Oryzias latipes: one gene and its partner. The protein of the gene in region 1 purifies or fractionates together with the protein of each later gene. This does not show direct contact. Links are inferred from orthologs where the notes say so. Each region holds a gene or a part of one and is shown in the gene's direction. Other genes may lie near its edges.

Evidence for each region. The genes of interacting proteins can lie anywhere in the genome.
Region 2: the proteins of clcn5 (region 1) and tmem9 purify together in Homo sapiens (co-immunoprecipitation; 3 studies listed by BioGRID and IntAct, with this or other methods). This does not show direct contact. The link is inferred for Oryzias latipes from reciprocal best matches to the Homo sapiens genes CLCN5 and TMEM9.

Annotation. Positions count from the first base shown.
Region 1 is NC_019876.2:21,114,074-21,117,827, reverse strand, and holds the start of clcn5 (H(+)/Cl(-) exchange transporter 5), read left to right. Parts: upstream 1-1,266; 5' UTR 1,267-1,342; coding exon 1,343-1,394; intron 1,395-1,471; coding exon 1,472-1,621; intron 1,622-3,754. UniProt on the Homo sapiens protein: Proton-coupled chloride transporter. Functions as antiport system and exchanges chloride ions against protons. Important for normal acidification of the endosome lumen. May play an important role in renal tubular function.
Region 2 is NC_019865.2:11,958,648-11,962,401, reverse strand, and holds the start of tmem9 (transmembrane protein 9), read left to right. Parts: upstream 1-1,459; 5' UTR 1,460-1,595; intron 1,596-1,777; 5' UTR 1,778-1,812; coding exon 1,813-1,902; intron 1,903-2,280; coding exon 2,281-2,372; intron 2,373-2,575; coding exon 2,576-2,684; intron 2,685-3,212; coding exon 3,213-3,344; intron 3,345-3,423; coding exon 3,424-3,564; 3' UTR 3,565-3,754. UniProt on the Homo sapiens protein: Transmembrane protein that binds to and facilitates the assembly of lysosomal proton-transporting V-type ATPase (v-ATPase), resulting in enhanced lysosomal acidification and trafficking.

The DNA of each region.
Region 1 (3,754 bases):
TTCTGCCTTTTTAGTGCAGCAGAGAGTGATTTTTTTAAATACATAGTTACTCTAATATCGCAGTTCCAACAAGAAGAGGAGTTCGGACCACTGGCTGCATGTTCGGACAACAGCCGTTCGTAATTGTTGGTAGGGTGACGTCATATTGGTCATCTGTCGCAGTGTTTACATCGCTTAAGTCAATAAAGGTTGAATTGAAATTTACAAATGCACTAATCTTTTCCTCACTGATCGACCTATGCACCTCCACTTTAGTTTCGCCTTTGATAGATTATGTTTTCCTTTCAGTAGAGCATAGAAAATGACGAAGCAAAGGTAGTTTTATTTAGAATGCTAACGCAGAGAAAACGACAAAGGTATGGAAGTTTAACAGGAAATACACATTACAGACTACAAAATAAAGCTGCAGAGTTTCACTGAAAATAAATAAAATGCATACTTTTTTTAATTTAAACACACGTAGACACACAAACAAAGATTTAAGCTATACTTTATTCAAAATGAACTTTATAAGGAAAAAGGTCCGTTAAAATAATTGTTGAGGATGGAACCGGAAGTTTTGGGTTGTATGATAATTGTCGCTTAACAATCGTCTAAATAGCAGAATAAACATAAACGGTGGAATGAATACGAATGTTAACACTGTTTGACGGCGTTTACTTCCTTTTTAAACAACTGTTGTGTTTCGTGTCTGTACTTTTATTGAAACCAGCTGTTTTTCGTCCGGATAATGATGCTGAATTTGCACGTATCCGTTAAGTTTACACGGGTTCCTGCTGCTGACATAAGCGGGTCCCGCTGAAGCAGGCGGCGGGGCAAATCTGAAGTCACAAGACTTCCTGGAGCTAAGCGGTTGTTATCTCCTGTAAAGGTACGGTACAGCATTATTTTCACCGCTTTAGAACCATTTTTCTCCCTGTGAAATAAAAGAAACACATCAAAGACACGTAAACAGAAAACATGAACTACTAATTAAGTTAGTCTGGTGCTAAATCTAGTCTTCCTTTTTATATTTTTAGCTAAGCAGCACAGCACCAAACAACGACCAACAAATCAGCTTATTAGCTTCAGTGACATAGTTACTAGCTATAATATTTTTGAAGTACAGCCTCACGGCTTACTAAAAAGTAAAAGAGGAAATAAGGGGCGGAAATGGAGATAAAAACTTCCTTTAGTGAAGTTGAAGAGTCGCAACTGCTGCCTGCGTTGATCATCAACTTGATGATGTGGGTGTTATGGCTAGCTTTGGGGCCGATGGATTTACATTTGTGTCTTTTCTTTTAGAGAAAGCAAAAAAAAGTTAGAATCCTCCCCCCCCCCCCCCTTATTACTTTGAGTGACAATGTTCAGGTGGTCGAGCATACAGGGAAGACCTGTCCGAAACAATGACACAGGTATTGACAGCTTTAGCTCAAGCTAAGTTAATGCAGCGCGTGGAGGGTAAACATGCACTCTGTTGTGCTGCAAACAGGGTCCAGAACCATGGAGAACCCCGGATACCGAACCGGGAGCTATGATACCCTTCATCACTCCAGTGATGATGATGACGACGAGATGGTGGACATCGCAGGTGCCACGCTGGACTTCTCCACAACGGACGACATACCTTCTCTCAGCTCAGGTAAGTCCAGCGGTTGAACAAAAAAACACCAGCAGGACAGGTAGATAAACTTAGATAATATGTAGAACCAGAATAGACAAATACTGCACATGGTCACATTTTTATGGTTATTTCTTTAACAGAACTTAGCAGATATGGAATTGAGTGTTTAATCTGCTTTTGGTAACTTTGACCTTAGTTCACATGTCACTGCCGTCTATTTCAATGAAAAACGCCCACAGCTTCACTTTGGTTGGACATTGCTTGATTTAAGTATAAAGATGTTTAATCTATTACTTTAATGTTATATGCAATTTCAACTCCAATAATCTTTTGAACTATTATCAAACTGTTCCCAGTTGGGTTTTAATGAGGATTATTCCAATTTTAAGCAAAATCGAAAAACCTGTGTTGTTTTCTAGGACATAGGTTCTGCAGAGCGGCAGTAGTTCAGTAGAAATTTGCCTCTGAGTTGTGGGTGGGAGCATTGGTTCAGTGTAAGCCTTCCCATCATCCCTTTGTTTCCATGCTATTTTGCTAGCTTACAGCCCCTCACACCCCTAACTTAACACTCCGGTGCAACAGAAATGGGGAGTGCGTCGGAATGGATCGAAGCAGAAAGCTTGTGGCCTGCTGTAGTAGTTTTTACTACAAGCTTTTTACAACTGCATTTTGTTGTCTGCTCTTGATTCTGCACTATTTGAATAAAGAAATAAGCAGAAATGCAAATTTAACCTTAATTTTCTTTATGTCCGTCATTAGAAAATGCCACAAGAACCTTTTTAAAACTTAAAATTTTCTTTGGCAGGGGTCTTTAAGCAGCAGCGTCTGCCTACATATTCCTTTTTTTGCTATCTCATTATTTGAGTATTTCATTTTGGATCAATGTGTTCATATTCACCGTGTGAACATGTTAGAATTGTGTTGTTCCTCTGACATGTTGGGTTTTTGTTGACCTCATAATTGATCTAAACTCCAATGCTGATGTCATGTTACCGTCATTGTGTATGTGATGAACTCACACTTTTCTTGGTCTGATAAGCTGGATTTGACAGATCAGGTTATAGGAAATCAGAATTCAGAGTTCCTCTGGGATCTCAGAAGTTCTTGAGACTTCCCTCTGCTGTGCGTAATTTAGTTATTTGGATGGCTGATGACAGACAGCACGAGTTGGCAGCACATAAGACTTGCAAATAAACTGTTGGGGATTTCTTTTCAGCACAATGAAGTTAAAATATATTATTCGGAAGTTGCATTAAACACCAAGCACAAGCTACTTAGCATGCTGGGCTGACATGTGAGAACAATAACATGTCCCTGTTGAGAATGTTGTAGTTTAGATTCCATGAGAAACATTGATCATGACCGGAGATCCAAAAGTTCTGATTTGGAACCTTGACTCTTGCAGCGGCTTCCTGATGTTTCCCCGGTTACTGGTGATGTCATCACATTACTTCTCCACCTCCTAAAACAGCAGCCTTAGCACATAAGGGTTTCTTCTGAAAGAATTAAGTTTGTGACTCCACAGACTCTTTCAAGCAGGTGAAATCATGACTTAATTCATGATATTAGTTCAGGTTTTGCACCATTTCTTTGAATTTTTTATGTCTTTTTTTCATTGGACAGCTGCATGAGTTATGATTTCTCAGCTTTTGTGTATAATATAAAAACAATTATCTATGATTTTCATTGTAATAGTACACCCTAGCTGTGAAGTGAAACCGTGTATTTTTTATTTTTTTGTCATTTAAATCTCTTGATTGCTCTAAATCATTGACTGTATACTAAATAACTGGACGAATGGCGTGTGATGTCACCCATAGAAAATGCCTTGCTTCTGGTGTAGGTACAATATGTGTTTGTCCTGCCAGATCAGCACGGGGGATTGCAAATGGTAATGATGTCACACTACGGTAACGGCACTTGGACAAACTACTTGTAGGCTGTGTCTGAATTCCTACCCTACTCCCTAACTACTGAAAAACGATATAGTGCAGGACTACCTAGTGCCCTGGCTTTTCAAAAGCAATTGGGACACAATGCTCACTGCAGTTTTTTTTTTTAAACGGAAAAAATGTCACCGATTTCACGAAGCAGAAATCGAATCAATATGAGCGTTTCACTACGACTCTTGATGAATCCCCTGTGTTGTGA
Region 2 (3,754 bases), on another chromosome or scaffold:
TGTGGGGGGTCATAGTTTTAATCGATCTGCATGGCAACAGACCCAAGTGGTTCAGGTTGATCTTGCAACTCATTGATTTAGACGGTTTATTAACGGTAAGAGTATCTTACTACACACAGAGGCATGAAGGCAGGATTACCTGGAAATGGGAATATCGATTGCACCAAGACACTAAGGCTCAGGTTTTAAATAAAGGGGGAAAATTGGACATGGGAATCATGTCAATTGTGAAAATAATAAAATACTGTAACAATAACAGATTACTTTATGTTGCAACATGAAAAATGTCTCTTTTAGCATACAGATAGTGGACCATCCAGACTACTCATGATTTTTGTTAAAGACCCACTCCAATGAAAATATACTTTCTGGTGTTTTAACATGTTCTTGTATCATTTTTTCTCATGATGGAGGTCATATAAGGAAAATCAAGCTGTAATTGTATTTCTGCATATTTCTTTATTCAAATTGATGTCAATCAGGAGCAGACGTTAAAATGCCGTAGGAAAAAGCAGGTAGCAGTGACATAGTCTACAGTCGGCAGGCCAGAAGCTGCCTGCGCTGCTCCATTCTGATGCATCCACTTGGAGACAAATAGATCCATATACAGTATGTGTTCGTTTTTCTCCTCCAGGCTGAAATGTAGCTCAAAACTGTGCGCCTGGATAGCTCCGATATTGCTCACCACTTTTTGTGCAACACAAATGTTAGGTTGGGGTTGTGAAGGGCTGCAAGCTGGAGAGCACCTAAACAAAGGGATGATGGAAAATGAGGGCACCAACAATCCTGTCCACAACTCAGAGGCAGAGTTCTAATGACCTACTACTGCTCTGCAGAAACCATGTCCTTGAAAGCGACAGTTGTTTTTATTGGGTTAAAAATGGCATAATCATAACTAAAAGACCAATGGGAATGCTTTTACGTAAGATCAAAAGATGATTGGAATGGGACATTAAGTCATTCAAATATCACAATTCTTTTAAAAATCATTGTCATCATATCTTAACTAAAAAATAGTGTTAAAAATGGCAATTAGTTTTTATTATTCAGTTGATTTTTGAAAAAAGGTAAATATAATTTTAGTTACATAATTAATTTGCTTGTTGTTTAAAACGGCCTTGCTTTAACCCTTGTATAGCACAAGGGTTAAAGCAAGGCTGTTTTAGGCACTTTAACATTGGGAGTTGGGTCATCTAGACCCACTAGACAGTGCTCTGAACCTTTTTTCTTCAATGATTTGTGATCTTCACTGGTGTCCATGGATTACATGAAATCTTTACACCTTTATCCTCCTTTGTCATGGTAGGACAACACGTCAATGTAAGGGTGGGGTCATCTAAGTTAGCACAAGGGTTAAACAAAGGAGAAGCTGAATTGGCGACATTTCATGTGCAATTCTGAATAATAAGGGACCTTCCGTATCTGTCCAGCAGATGGCGCTGTCGGTCCAGTTCCACAGTTCCGTGACGATAGTCCGGATCCAGGAAGAACAGCTCATTTCAGCAATTACAGCTTTTTTTTCAAGCTCTGCGATTCGTGCTAGAGCTGCGTCCTGAATGCACAACACGAATACGCTGCTGACGAGCTGTGAACACGTGAGTTAACGAGTTGTTTTAAAATTGACCAAAGTTGTTTTGTATTTTACGATTTCTTACCAAAAAAAAGCGACAAAAATAAATGGTTGTCACCCCCCCCCCCCCCCCAGCCGTTTCCGTCGTTGTTTACACCGTAGCTAGATGCTAGCTGTGCTAACTGCTAGCATTTGGTGTTTTGACAGGGCGTCAGTGGAGAACTTTCCGATCCAGCAGGGAGATGTTTGACAAATACGGACCTTTGAGCTTCTTAGCTGCTACAGTCGTGACTGTGTTTCTTCTGGATGCTGGTGCTGTTGCAGACGCTAAGGTGAAACAAGGGAAATGTGTTGTTTTAGCTTATCATATCCTATGACAATCATCCTGGATACTACTTCTTGTGTTTGCAAAATACATATTTTTATCATAAATATTTACATGATAATCCATACTTTTTTTTAAAATCAATTTGTCTAATAAATGAAATCAGGGACACTTCAGTTCTGATTATGCTTTCTGCTGTATTGTAAACAACTGTAAATAAACCCACGTGGCTTGTTTCAAAGTCCGATCTTTTTGACTGCTTTATCAGACCCGGATGAAGAACTAATCACCTGAATCAGGTGCAGCCTGGAACAGGGAAATAAGATTCACATGCAGCCCAGAACCAGGATTTAAAACTCTCTTCTTATTATCCTTGATGTTGCAGAACTTTGAAGATGTTCGCTGCAAGTGCATCTGTCCACCATACAGAAACATCAGTGGGAACATTTATAACAGGAATGTTACCCAGAAAGATTGGTAAGATCACTTTGTTAAAATGTATTTACTATTATTTAAATAATATCAATTTAGAAACAGTTTGGGAATTGGTTTAGTTACTTTTTATTACTTAATTGACACAAATGCTGACTTTTTGTCTGCATTTTCATGAGGTTGCCCTACACACTTTAATCTTACCTTGCAGGTATAAATATTAACGAAAACCTTTGCTTTCATTGCAGTACCTGCCTCCATGTTGTTGAGCCGATGCCAGTTCCTGGATATGATGTAGAAGCTTACTGTCTGCTGTGTGAGTGCAAGTATGAGGAGCGAAGTAGCAACACCATCAAGGTACTACAGGCTTTCATTTGATTTCGGTGGTTTGTCTCCTACAGTATCCTCCCTCAAAGCAAACGTCCTTCAAAATTCCTTGGGCAAAACCCTTCGCGCTACCGCCTAACTGTGTTGCCACAAGGGGCCCCAAGTCTGGGTCCCCCTATGTTGGTTTCCAGCCCGGATAAAACACAGGCTGGTGTCAGGGAGGGTATCCGGCGTAAAAATCTTTGTCAGACTACGTGTGCAAAACAGTGAAAGCTGAGTCGCTGGCGACCCCTGAACGGATTTGCTGGGGTCTTCAAACTATACCTATTATGACACCTTTTAACCAAAAGACCCAGAATACCAGTTTTTATTGTTTGAAGCATTTTATCTTTGTTTTGTTGCGTTTTGTATTGTATTGCCACAAAACCTGTCATTTATTGATTTGTGGGAAAGATACACCCCCCTACTAAAAATAAAATTGAAATGCTTGTTATGTCCTGTTTTTGTGATGTGCTGCAAAATGACATCTTTATGTGACCCGTTTGCTAAATGTTCCAGGTAACCATCATCATTTACCTGTCGGTTGTGGGTGCATTGCTGCTCTACATGCTGTTCCTGCTCCTTGTTGATCCTCTCATCCGGAAACATGACCCCTACACTCAGCCTCTGCACAACGAGGAAGACAGTGAGGTAATCATGCAAAGAAACATCACATGTATTGGTGTACATTATGAATGCCGCCGGTTTTAACATACGTCTGCGTTTGCAGGAGATGCGTCCGCAGGCAGACAGCGGGCAGGCCAGAGGAAACACGGTGCTGGAGCGGGTTGAGGGAGCACAGCAGCGCTGGAAGAAACAGGTCCAGGAGCAGCGAAAGACCGTTTTCGATCGCCACAAATTGCTAAGTTAAACTGTCAGCCTGAGCTTAAAACCCGGTTTAGAGTAAATGACCTCCTTGAGCTCAGACCAGCGGCACTATCACAAACCAGCACAGCATCCTCTGGATCAGTATTTTGACAACAAGAAACATATTAGCATGAACTTCTAACAGACTTGAATGTAATGGGCTTTAGGCTGGAATATAAACTAATCTCATTTGT